Linked DNA regions of Saccharomyces cerevisiae S288C. The gene in region 3 interacts genetically with the main gene of each other region. Each region holds a gene or a part of one and is shown on either strand. Other genes may lie near its edges.

The links.
Region 1: mutations in ESBP6 (region 3) and PIL1 together harm fitness less than expected from each alone (positive genetic interaction), as found in Saccharomyces cerevisiae (2 studies listed by BioGRID).
Region 2: mutations in ESBP6 (region 3) and CDC37 together harm fitness more than expected from each alone (negative genetic interaction), as found in Saccharomyces cerevisiae (2 studies listed by BioGRID).

What each region holds. Positions count from the first base shown.
Region 1 is NC_001139.9:649,098-652,423, forward strand, and holds PIL1 (lipid-binding protein PIL1), read right to left. Parts: upstream 1,521-3,326; coding exon 501-1,520; downstream 1-500. Other genes in the region: PDC6 (indolepyruvate decarboxylase 6), read right to left, coding at 2,193-3,326. UniProt on the Saccharomyces cerevisiae protein: Negative regulator of cell wall integrity (CWI) in unstressed cells, probably by inhibiting protein kinase PKH1/PHK2 activity and regulating their downstream CWI pathways PKC1-MAP kinase pathway and protein kinase YPK1 pathway.
Region 2 is NC_001136.10:788,498-792,348, reverse strand, and holds CDC37 (Hsp90 co-chaperone CDC37), read right to left. Parts: upstream 2,022-3,851; coding exon 501-2,021; downstream 1-500. Other genes in the region: STB3 (Stb3p), read left to right, coding at 1-1; TAF10 (Taf10p), read right to left, coding at 2,280-2,900; exocyst subunit SEC5, read left to right, coding at 3,128-3,851. UniProt on the Saccharomyces cerevisiae protein: Co-chaperone that binds to numerous kinases and promotes their interaction with the Hsp90 complex, resulting in stabilization and promotion of their activity.
Region 3 is NC_001146.8:388,732-395,044, forward strand, and holds ESBP6 (Esbp6p), read right to left. Parts: upstream 3,437-6,313; coding exon 1,415-3,436; downstream 1-1,414. Other genes in the region: SPC98 (Spc98p), read left to right, coding at 1-1,036; NAF1 (RNA-binding snoRNP assembly protein), read left to right, coding at 4,161-5,639; NMA111 (Nma111p), read left to right, coding at 5,954-6,313.

The DNA of each region.
Region 1 (3,326 bases), on a different chromosome or scaffold from region 3:
GAAGGCGGTGAAAACAAAAAGAATATTAAAAAAAGTAATGTATGGGTTCTCGTTGTACGGATGTTTAAAATGTCCTGAAAAATACCAATTAGACGGTTCTGTGCTTGTTATATATAGATGTCTATACGACTCAACATATGTATGTTGCTGCATTTTAGAAAAAAATTAGGCATTAAACATTAGGCTACACAGGAAATAATGTTTCCTATCAAAAGAGTTCTAACTTGAATTGTTCCTTCACAATTAAAAAAAATAAAAGAGTACATATTTAGGAGGGGGAAGAGATATTGATAATAGACTAAAGTAAGGAGTGAGGAGAGGGCAAAATACAATAATAGATGAAAAAAAAAATAGGAAAATAAAACAATTTTTTCAGAGTGAGGGAACAGAAATGATTATCTGTCCACGCATTAATTAAAAGAGATTAATTAGTATGGTAACTTGTTCTTTTCTGCTGGTTTTTTTTTTTTTGTTTCTAATAGATTGTTGATTTATTTTGATTAAGCTGTTGTTTGTTGGGGAAGAGACTCACTTTGCTGGTGTCCGACTTGTTCATGTTCTTCAACAGCACCTTCTTCTTCTTGTTCAGGTTCTTCAATTTGTCCATCTTCTTGTTCGTCTTCGGACCACCTGCCTTGACCGTCTTCCTCTTCCTCTTCTTCGCCTTCTTCAGGTTCGAAGTCTTCGTAATCCTGCTTGAAACTTAAAGTAGGCTTGACTTGGGCAGAGTCTAGTGTCCATTCATTCAGTGCGCTTTCAGCATCAATAATGATTTGTTTAGAGGCTTCATACCCATCGTAAGCAGGCCTGGTTTCACCTGGAGTGACAGGAGAGTCGTCCAATAGTTCCAAGAGAGCCTTACCGTAACCAGCGATTAAAGCAATTTTCTCTGAATGTTCGATGATGGAGTCAAATTGGTAGTTGAAAGCAGCTCTCAACTTTGACCTTGTGATATTAGATAATTGAGCTTCAGCGACCAAAGATTCAGCCTCAGCACGCACCAATTCTTGTTCCAAGACCTCAATCTTAGGTGATTGAGGATCTTTGTATTTCAAGTAGGCGATTTTGTCGGTGATCTTGTCCTTACGGTCTCTAGATGGTTGAACAGAACCTTCGATATCTCTGATGGACTTTAGAGTCAATCTGTATTGGTCATAACGATCGATAAATTGGTCGTCTAATTCACTAACTTCATAGATCAAGACACCTAATTTATCAGTGATGTCGGAAACATCGTCATCGTTTTCCAACCCCCAAATAGACAATTGCTTAGCAGCGTCACGTCTTTCGTTGGCTGTCAATTCCATGGACCTCAAAACATTCTTTTCAATCTTAACCAATTGAGACAACTTTCTGGATAATTCTGGGCCAAAAGCTCCAGCAGCACTTCTCCTAAAGCTGTAAGCTAGACCACCCTTCCCAAAGAATCTACCTTTGGTTGTAGATGGTGGTGGCGGTGGGTTCTGTAATTGAGAGGCGGTAGGTGCCCTGGAATTTCTTAAAGAGTAAGTTCTGTGCATACTATATACTTGATGCTGATATATTCTTCACTTTGCAATACTGCTAACAATGGAAAAGTATAGGTAAATAAATGTGCAGATGCAGATGTGAGACAAATTTTCTTTCTTGGGTTGGGATAATCAACGCATTGTACCCAAACGACGGGAAACAAGGAAGGATGCAGAATGAGCACTTGTTATTTATAAAAAGACACGGGAGGGGGAATCCCGTCTTTCGTCCGTCGGAGCCAAAGAGATGAGCCAAAGCAGAAAAACAGGGGACGCCGCCCTTCTTCCGTCCCGTGCGTGAGGGGGGCGCGGCCATTCGGTTTTTGCAATATGACCTGTGGGCCAAAAATCGAAAAAAAAAAAAATAAGAGGCGGCTGCGGAATTTTATAAGACAAGCGCAGGGCCAAAGAAAAAATAATAATTGACGTGGCTGAACAACAGTCTCTCCCCACCCCTTTCCAAAAAGGGGAATGAAATACGAGTTCTTTTTCCCAATTGGTAAATATTCAACAAGAGACGCGCAGTACGTAACATGCGAATTGCGTAATTCACGGCGATAACGTAGTATTTAGATTTAGTATAATTTGAACCGATGTATTTATTTGTCTGATTGATTTATGTATTCAAACTGTGTAAGTTTATTTATTTGCAACAATAATTCGTTTGAGTACACTACTAATGGCTTATTGTTTGGCATTTGTAGCGGCAGTCAATTGCGCTTGTTTGATCAAACTTTCCGGAGCATCAAAGACGGGCAGTTTCAGTTCAATTAGTCTGATCACCGAGTTTTTCTGGAACTCTGAATCAGTGGTTAAGGCATCCCACTCACCCGTAGTGGCGATCTTGTGATTTTCGTACTTTTTCGCACCAAATGCGGGCAACAGGGCGAGGTGATCCCAGGTCTGGATTTCGTTGTACTCTGCGTGAGGCCCATGAATCAGCTTTTCGATAGTGTAGCCGTCGTTGTTAAGGACAAAAAGATACGGCTTTAACCCCCATCTGATCATGGTGGAGATTTCTTGGACGGTTAACTGCAAAGACCCGTCACCTATGAATAAGATGACTCTCTTGTTGGGGTCAATCTCCTCAGCGGCAAAGGCAGCACCTAAAGTTGCTCCTGTTGTAAAACCGATGGACCCCCACAACACCTGCGAGATACCGTAGGCGTCCTTAGGAAAGATAGTTTGATTGATACCGAAGGCAGACGTGCCGGTCTCGGAAATGATAACATCACCTTCTTGCAAGAATTTGGACAATTCGTTCCACAACCACTCTTGTTTCAAGGGCGTGCTAGCAGGTACACCTTTGTTTGCGGGAGTTTTGGTTGGTACGGGAACGCTCTTGTAGCCCTTAACAACATCGGGAATAACCTTCAGTAAGTTTTGTAGTGCAAATTTCATTTGTACACCGAGGAACGTAGCGTTCTTCACCTTTACGTAATCGGAATGAAACTCCACTACATTTTTAGTCTTGTAGGAGTAGGAAAACGAACCTGTGTTAAAATCAGAGAGCAAAGCACCGACCGAAAGGATCAAATCAGCCGACTCAACGGCCTGTTTCACGTCTTGTTTGGACAGCGTTCCCACATAAACACCGCCATATCTGGGATGCTGTTCATCTATTGACCCTTTACCTAGAGGTGTCACAAAAGCTGGGAATTGCGTCAAATCAATTAACTTCTGGGTTTCTTTTTTAACGTTGTGCCTAGAAGCACAGGCATCCGATAGTATAACAGGGTTTTTCGAATTCTGGATCAATTCTAGTACGGTATCAATAACTTCCTTTTCAGCTTCGGGATCGTTAGGTTTTAATGATAG
Region 2 (3,851 bases), on a different chromosome or scaffold from region 3:
AGAATTCTTTACCAGTTCCATGAAATAACAAAAAAACAGTAAAAAAAAAATGAAAATGAAAAAAGAATACATATTTTGTTTTAATGAAAGTTTGTTACCAAGTTTTGCTTTAAGTTTATCATCTCTGAATAATTATTTTGTCTTTTTTGTCACCACTTTTTTCTTGTCACATTTTTTTCTTCTTTTCATATTCATTTCATATATTAGCCCGTTCAATATATTTCAAAAGACCCAGTATTTTTCACATTTTACCCTTCCGATTCTTTGTGTAGTATATACAAATTACAAAAACACACACTGAGAAAAACATGCACTAATAAAAAATAAGATATTATGTACTAACGTAGGAAAGCAGGTACAAAACCTCTGCTGTAATTTCACGATTTTCTTTATTGATCATTAATTTTCTTCTTTTTTTTTTTTGTATTATGTATAAATGAAAATAACAATAAAAAAGGAAGTAGATGCACGCTGCACCAGTAAAATAGCTACATAAATTTCTAGTCAACAGTGTCGGCAGTATGTTTGACCTCTTCATGGTTATCTCCGCCACCATCACGGTCGTTTAAGGACAGATTCTCCATAGTGGCGTCTTCATGGTCCTGTTCGTATTGATCTTTCAAACTTTGAAAGTCTTTCTCGTTTTCTAAGATCGCTTTTATTCCAATAATGTCAATGTCATTAAACACTTCCAAAAGTTTCTCAGCCTCTTCAATTGGTATATCTTCAAAGACTTTATTAATATTATCCAAATTTTTGGTCATTATGGCTTCTTGCATTTTTTCCGGTATTAAAGTTTTGAAAACTTTAACCTTTTTCATCTCTTCTGGATCTTTAGAATTGAAGTCTGGCAAGTTTACTTCTAATTCTGTAGAATCATCTAGAGATTTCAATTGAATCGTCTCTACTCCTTCAGCATTCGATTCATCCATTTCCTCTTGTTGTAAAATTTTGGAACGTTTTTGAATGTGCAAAAATTTTTCTTGAACTGATCTCAAAAAAGACTCTTTACCCATTGGCTTGTCCTTGTTGAAGATAACCTTCTCGAAAAACATATTAATGACATTTGATAGTTCCATTGGATTTAAATATGGAATTTTCTTCATGTCGTAGATTTCCTTAATGTAGGCCATCAATTCGGATTGATGAATGACTTGCAAAGTCATCTTATCGTCACCATGTAACTGATACTCAAAGGCCTTCATCATTAAGGCGTCCTTTTGTTGTTCTGAAATAATAGGTAAGTGCTCCAGTAAGAATTTCTGAGATTTTGAGTACTCATTAATGGATATTTTACCGAATTCTTCAGTTTCCTTGGCCAGTTTCATAGGATCATCTTTAAAATCGATGAAAGTTTGCGGAACTGATGATTTTGCTAGTTTATTAAGAATATTAGACTCTGCAGCGCTCGAAAGAGCTTCTGAAGGAGTTGCTTCCAGTGGCTTAGCCCCCCCCTTTTGCTTGTTCATAAAGCTACTATCAAAGCCTGTATGAATGTCTTCAGATGAAATGTGTGCATTTTTCTCCTTGTATAATTCATCTAATTTCTTCTTAGCCTCTACAGTTACTGAATCGATCTTAGCCCTATGTTTCAAAATAGCATCCCTTATGAGAGATGGGCTCTTCGAGTCTTTGCCCTCTTTGTCTAAATCTTTTGCTAATTGTTCAAAAAGATCTTCAACCATTTCATTGTATGTTGCAATCTCAGGATCAACATTTTCCCCTTTACTTTTCTCCATCTTATCAAAATTTGCATTCAAGAATTTGGTAACGGCTGGCAAATCAGTAAGAGAACTTTCAGGTAAATTACTCAAAATTCTGTCCACTCGTTTGTTCAAATGAGAATACATATCCACTTGTGTCTCCAAATTTTTGATATCTTGGTTCCTTTTGAATCGCTGTTCATGGATACTCTGTTGTTTCCATTTAATGAACGATTTCTTGTCCACATTAGGATGCACCTCGACATCAGAATCATCTGATAGTTCAATTTTATCCCACTTAGAGTAATCAATGGCCATTTTTGACTTATGTAGTTGTTCCGTAGTACGATAGCTCGATAGTTTTTTTATCGTGATGAAGTGTTGGTGCAACGGAGGTGTTCTCTTATGTGGCAATCTTTCATGATCCTTCAGTAAAAAATCGTGAAAAACGGATGTTCAAAAAGCGTGTCAAATTTGCGTGAATAAGTGCTCTAATCAATCTAATAACGAATCGTGTATTTAAAAGAGTTGCATACTGCTACACTATATACATATTTCATTTCCATTTGTTAGCCACTAACGATAAAAGTCTGGGCGACCTATATTGAGCCCGTATTCAGCAACAGCGCTACTGAGATCGTTCACCGTCAGAACAACTTTGCTTGCTGTAGTCTTCTCATTCTGTTGATGTTGTTGTTGTGAAATCTGCTGCACGCCAGGCTGTTGCTGTCCTTGCAATAGCTGCCTAGCTCTCGCCTGACTGTTGTTAGCATTAGATACCGCTACGGAAGACCTGATCCTGGAATATTCGTAGGCATCCTTAGCTATATCACTAACAAATTTCTGAGTAGCAAGTGCTAAAAGTCGTTTCACTCGTACATCTGCTACGTTAAACCCGTTTTTGGTTAAATAGTAGTCTATTACTGCATCGGGAATGATAGGAGGAGTACTGTCCATCATCTCTAGAATCTCCTCCAGAGTCTTATCTTTTCTTGTAAATTCGGGTATACCAAATGCATTTTCACTCCCATCATCCACTACAGCCTCTCTCTTTTGCTTCTTCTTCATGTTTTCTGCGACAGAGTCATCATTATCATTGTCCCCATCATCGGCTCCCGCAACCGATGGAAAAGGTGTTTCTAATTGTCCTTCTTGATTATCATCAAACTCCGCATCGTAATCTTCCTCAAAATCCATAGTTTCAGTTATTCTTTCCTCTGTTCTTCGCTGCCAGTTCTTTTTAGCTTAGGCATGAATGCTGAATCTGCAGCTTCTTTAATTTTTCGTTTCTGTTTTCAACTTGAAAAAACAAAAGTATCAACTCCTACTATTCAACTAAAGTAACAAAAATAAGCTGCGTTAAAGCTGCTAAACTAGGAAAGAAGTTTCTGTTGAAATAAAGTAGCGAAAAAAAGTTTGGTACCATGGATAGGTTTCAAATTGGCGACGAGCAACTACTTCGTTTTTATCAGTTGAAGACTATTAATCCGACCCATTCCTGGGCCCAAGATTCCTCAAAATTGAATAATGAAGAGGCTACAAGCAATGAACTTGGCGTTGAAACGTCATTCGACATATTAAAAGACTTCAAATATGGCAATCAAATTAGCATTGACAAGGAATCGAGAGCATATTTAAACGATGAGTCGTTAAGTTATATTAGAGATCCCTTGAATGGACAAGAAATGTCTAAAGAATTGCAACATCTACCAAATGATTCAATGCGGTTGAACTATCTTGTCAACAGTAAACAATTCAACGTCAAAGCCTTTCTGAGAGATATGCACAAACAAGACTCTTTCAATGATCTAAATAACTCACTGGACAGGTTGGACAGTGATATACAAGACCAATCTATACATTTGAAACAATTGGTTGGTAAAAATTTCACCAAGTATGTTAAGATTAAAAACAAGTTAGACCAAATTTACAAAGAATTTGACGAGAAAACGAATGAAAAAAACCAATGTGATTCACCAAAAGAAAATCAAATAAATGTGGAAAGCTTAAATAAAAAGGTCGACGAGGTTATTAGAACAACAACTTTCAAACTGAAACCGCTAATGGATAACTATCAGAAAATTTTGAATTACCAGGCCACCAAAAAATTTATTGAATTGAATAAGTTTTACTTCAACCTACCCAAAT
Region 3 (6,313 bases):
ACCATCGGATTCATTGCCAAATTATAAGTTAACAAGGGTTTTACAGGAAGCCGTGCAGCTTTCTTCCTTAAGACATTTAATGAATAGTCCCCGTAATAGTTCTGTCATTAATGGATTGGATGCGAGGGTACTCGATCTTGGACATGGATCCGTGGGTTGGGATGTTTTTACTTTAGATTACATCCTCTACCCCCCTTTGAGTTTAGTATTAAACGTAAATCGTCCTTTTGGCAGGAAAGAGTATCTACGAATTTTCAATTTTTTATGGAGATTTAAAAAGAACAATTATTTCTATCAAAAGGAAATGTTGAAGAGTAATGATATAATCAGATCATTCAAGAAAATCAGAGGTTACAACCCGCTCATCCGTGATATTATCAATAAACTTTCTAGAATCAGTATACTTAGAACTCAATTCCAGCAATTCAACTCGAAGATGGAATCTTATTATTTGAACTGCATTATAGAGGAAAATTTTAAAGAAATGACCCGGAAACTGCAACGCACAGAGAATAAAAGCCAAAACCAATTCGACTTAATTAGATTAAATAATGGCACCATAGAATTAAATGGGATTTTAACCCCAAAAGCTGAAGTACTAACAAAGTCTTCAAGCAGTAAACCCCAAAAACACGCAATCGAAAAGACGCTGAATATTGATGAATTAGAAAGTGTACATAACACGTTCTTGACGAATATTCTTTCTCATAAGCTTTTTGCAACTAACACAAGTGAAATAAGCGTTGGTGATTATTCTGGGCAACCATACCCAACTTCATTGGTTTTACTTTTAAATTCGGTTTACGAGTTCGTCAAAGTTTATTGTAATTTGAACGACATTGGATACGAAATCTTCATTAAAATGAATCTCAATGATCACGAAGCATCTAACGGATTATTGGGAAAATTTAATACGAATTTAAAGGAAATTGTTAGCCAGTATAAAAATTTTAAAGACAGACTGTATATTTTTAGGGCAGATTTAAAGAACGATGGCGATGAAGAGCTTTTCTTATTGAGCAAATCGCTCCGTTAAGAAATGATCCCGTCCCGTTTTTCATTTATAATAAATTTCCTCCACGCAGGTTTAATGTATAAGTTGTAATGGTAGCAAATGATTTACAGATTTATTTGCAAGTAAAGAGACTCTTTTTTCGTTTTGTTTTTCCTGGATCCGCAACACAAAGTGTATTACATATGGATACATGGAATATCTTTACAGTGCTAAATATATTAGGTTAAAAAAAGGTCGTTTTCTGTAAAGAATGCTTTTTCAGCGTTAACTTTACGTCTTTTTGATAATAAAGAAATTTAATTAGGTGAAGCGGAGATATTGAATATTATGTACTAATGATATGATGAGTAGGCGACGTAACTATCGCGTATATAACATGAATCAGGTCGTCGAAAAGAACTAGACCTTCATTGGATATACCATTCTTAGGAAGTATTTTTTAATGCCCGGACCTAAAAGAAGGTCATATTTAGTCTTTCTTTCTTTTAATTTACCCCAATCTTCATCGGCAGAATCGGTATCGTATTCGCTTGCCTTCCATTCTTTTAACTTCTCGTTTGTCATAGCTTGTCTTTCCGTTAATTTCATCCTGATAGAATATTCACGAAGGATAGAAATTAAAATTAGTGCGGCAATAAAGCAGCAACCGCAAAAAATTTGTGCATGTAAGTAAGGATTGCTCTTATCTTTCTCCACCGTCAATGCCTGGGCAATCACCTCACAAACCAATAAGAAAGGCGCACCACAGTAGTTGACGAAGGCCCAAGCGGGCAAAAACTCTTCTGGTTTAACCATATCGGCAATCAGAACGGTATTCATGACGTTGGCGACACCAACGCATGAGCCAACTAGAATTGAAAAAAAGATGAGTTGAACAAACGTATGAGCGGGGATCCAGAACGCAAACATATATATTGTTAACAAAGTGGTTAATACGATCGTTACGTTTGCCCTACCAAACTTATCTCCCGCTAAACCCATCAGAGGTCTTCCGATGGATTGCGAGCCGTTCAAAATGGCAGTCAATGTGGAAGCGTCGTGCGATGATAATCCTTTCGAGATTGCGTATGAAGATAAAGTAAAAACCATCATATTGTAGGCAAATAATGCGAACATGAACCATAATGCAATAAGTACCACAAATGGCTTAGTTATAACCTTTAATGAAAACATTGCTTTGAGCTGTTCAAACATGGCCCGAGGCGATTTCAATCCTATGGCAGGTGTAGGGTTTCTTTCTTTTAAGAGCGCAATAGCAACTAGAACACTTATGCTACACGATATGCCTATGATACGAAGGCACCACCGGGTATTTCCAAAGTCAGAAAGCATTTTGTTTGTAGCCAAACCGTAAACGACACCACCAGCACCGGTACCCAATAATGAGACACCCATTGCGACAGCTCTTTTTTTCAAGAACCATCCTGGTAAGACGGTTGTTGCTGGAACGAAAATCAGTGATATTGAACAACCGACCATAAAACCTTGGGTGACATACAATTGCCATAACTTGGTAGTAAAGGAGGCCAAGAGATATGCGGCAAGCATTACAGCATCACCAAAAAGCATGGTGGTCCGCAGACCAATTATTCTCATCAGTGCCATCACAAGGGGGGATAAGAGTTGACCGAGAAAGACAGTTAGGCCAGCAATTAAGGCATAATCGTACTTCGAAGCACCAGGGTAAGTATCATGGTTTAAGTAGTAGGCAAGGTCGACACCGAAGGATGCGTTGCAGCCCCACGTGGAAAACATGGTCAAGAACACACAGAATGTCACGACCCAGCCATAACCACCGTCGGGGGGCAGTTCCAGCTGCCCGGTAGACTTGTTGGTGAATACTTTTTTTACAGTCGGTTCATCAGGCTCGAATTCGGTTATTCCTTGGGCCTCAAGATCCTTACCGGAGTGTTTCGTGGAAGCCGGATATAGTCTATTCCTCATGAGTTTGGAGTCCATGGAAGCTTTATGTTCTGTAGTATCATTTTGAATAGAAGAAGCAGAGAAAGCAGAGGAAGATGGTGCCGACAACGAGGCGCCTGCAGTCGTGGTGTGTGTGACTGGGATGTTTAACTTTGACTGGACTGACTCATTGTGCTGTAGCCTAATGGCATCGGCCACGTCAAATCTAGATTCTAATATTTTATTAACGTCTGCGGAATTTTCTTCCGTCTGCAAGTTGTCGTCATCGACAGCCTTTTTAATGTCGTTGAGCCGATTAGTTAACGTCCTACTAATAGACAATTTTCTCGATGCATCGTTCGACTTGGTGCTGTGTAGATCAGAGCATGGAACCGGAGCAGCAATAGAAGCCTTAGAGAATGATACAGGCTGTGAAGAGTTTATCGAAGAAACCTCGGACGATGTCTCAGAGACCATTCCGGAAGAAGCAGAAAAGTAGTCGTTTGAGTGCGTTGACATTTTTCAGATTTATTTTCAGAAGCCCCGTAATTATACCTAAAGAAAAAGTAAAGAAAAGTGGAGAAAACAAAAGAAAAAGATAAAACTTTTAAATATGTGGTGTGACAAATGCAAAATACTATTCTGACTCGCACATTTAACTAACAAAAGAAAATTTGTCTAAGTCTAGCAGCTTTGGTAGAATATAGAAGAAACAGTCTAGTTTTGGCTCCGATATGAGTGGACAAAGCATCAAGATCTAAGGAATGCCAAGTATTTATCCAGGTTCTCCCGAAGACTTTTCTTCAATAGCGGCGGGGGTTTTTTTTTTTTGCAGATTGCCGAGATAGCCCGCGGCAAAGATACGTTATCTCGGTTATCGTCGGCAAGCGCTATTGTAACTAGATATAGGAAACTGTGGTCTGCAAAGATGCGGTATAAGGCCTCCGTCTGTTCTTACTGCGTTATCAGCCTTTGACAGTTTTAGTTCGTCAGGGTCTTTGACCAAATGATAAATTCCCTGGTTTACATTTTCACTAGTTTGTTCTCGAGCAATGCTTAGTTGGCACATAAATGAGTCAGGCACTACCACTCGGGTAACGGTCTGCGCGTTTCTTTTTGCGGCCATGAAATTTTTCAGGCGATGAGCTTAAAGGTAAAGGAAAAAGATGGTAGGATGATAGGTAGGATGAAGCGGTATGAAAGTGGAAGAAGCACAATATAGCACGTCGAAACAGTGCTAATCATGAGCGATGACTTGTTTTCTAAGGCTTTGGAGAATCCCGACCAGGACTTGAACGTGGAATTGCCCAAGGATGATGTTGATTTAGGTCTTTTAGGTGATGGTGGGAACGAGAGGAAGACCGATGAACCGGTAGCAGACGCAGAAAGATCAACAGGCCTAGGATCCGGCTCTTCTGAATCCGAATCAGATTCCGGTTCTGATTCTGATTCTGATTCTGGCTCTTCAGGTAGTGAGGATGATTCTGCAGATCAGGACGTTGAAGGAGAGGACGAAGGTGGTGACGCGATTGAAAATGAAGACGAAGACGAAGACCCTTCACCTTCCGGTCCTATACTATCGAAGAACGAAATACTAGAGGAAACTGTTCCTGAACTACCGGAAGATTATGAAATTTCAGAAAAAACGATCATCACTCCTATTGGTGTTTTGAAGTCTGCATTTGAAAATAATATAATCATTCACGCCACGATGTCGGGCGAAAAGCGTGTTTTAAAAGAGGGTTCCATTTTCTGTCTCGAGGATAGAACTTTGATCGGGATGTTGACGGAGGTGTTTGGACCCTTGCAAAACCCATTTTATAGAATTAAGTTGCCCGATTCAAAAAAAAACTTATTCGATGAATTAAAAGTGCGTTTGGGTGAGAAAGCCTTTATAGTCACCCCTGATGCCCACTGGATAGATACTTTCGAGTTAAAGCGCAACAAAGGTACTGATGCGTCTAATGGGTACGATGAAGAATTACCTGAAGAGGAACAAGAATTTTCCGACGACGAAAAAGAGGCCCTTTTCAAGAAAATGAAGAAACAGCAACGGCAACGAAAGAAAAGGGACAACCGCAAACTAGCCAACGATAGTGACAATGTCAAGGTAAAGAGAGCTCGGCAGCCCAAGGCCAACAGTTTACCTAAACTGGTACCGCCGTTGGGCATGAGCAGTAATGCTCCGATGCAACATGGGTACAAATCAAGAAACGCACGTGAAAATATCAAGCGTGAATCCAGTGCTACCTCTAATCGGAATGGCTCCTCCCCAGTGCCAATCACACAGCACCACCAACAACAGTTTTCTGCAAATAATTATCCCTTCCCTCAACAACCAAACGGTATGCCTTATCCACCATACTCACCTTTCCCTCAGCCGACTAACTTCCAGTATCCACCTCCACCATTTGGGCAGGCGACACCGGCCCAATTCTCCAACACTGTTCCATATGGTAGCTTACCTCCCGCATACAACAATATGTCGCCGCCAACACAGCAGTCGTTCATGCCAATGACCCAAAGTCAACCGCCACTTCCATATGGCGTACCTCCCATGAATCAAATGCAAAACCCAATGTACATCCAACCGCCACCTCAAGCACCTCCTCAGGGAAATGGTAATTTCCAACAAGTAATGGAATTACATCAAATACTTTTGCAGCAACAGCAACAGCAACACCAGTATCAGCATCAGCATCAGCAAGATCCAAGAACCTAGAGTCACGATTGAAATATTTAATAATAAATGCTATGTATCATAGATAAACTAGAAAGAGGCAAGAAAAATTTAACAAGTTTCTTAATTGAATATTATTTTACTGTCACTACCATTATTAGACGCCATCTCAGCGTGTGACATGATAATTTTTCTTTTTTTCTTTTTTTTTCCTCAAGGCGATGATATGAAACTTTCAAAAAATTTATATGTAAATAAAAAAGTTCTACGAGGGTTTAAATACGGAAGTTTATTTAGAAGATATTTATACTCTGAATACACACGTAGAGTACAGTAAAGGTTTTTTAGATCTACTAATGACCATATCGTTGAGCAATATAAAGAAAAGAGACCATTCTAAAATTTCCGATGGAACTTCTGGTGAATCATCGCTTGTAAAAAGGAAACAGTTGGAAAGCGCCACCGGAGATCAAGAGGAAGAATATACAGACCATGAAATCATTATAGAGCCGTTGCACTTTGCTAATAATAATAACACTGTACTCACAGATTCAGAAAATTATCTAAGATGGCAAAATACCATCTCCAACGTTGTTAAATCAGTGGTTTCCATTCATTTTTCACAAGTTGCGCCATTCGATTGCGATTCTGCTTTGGTATCTGAAGCTACCGGATTTGTCGTGGATGCTAAATTAGGTATAATTCTGACCAATAGG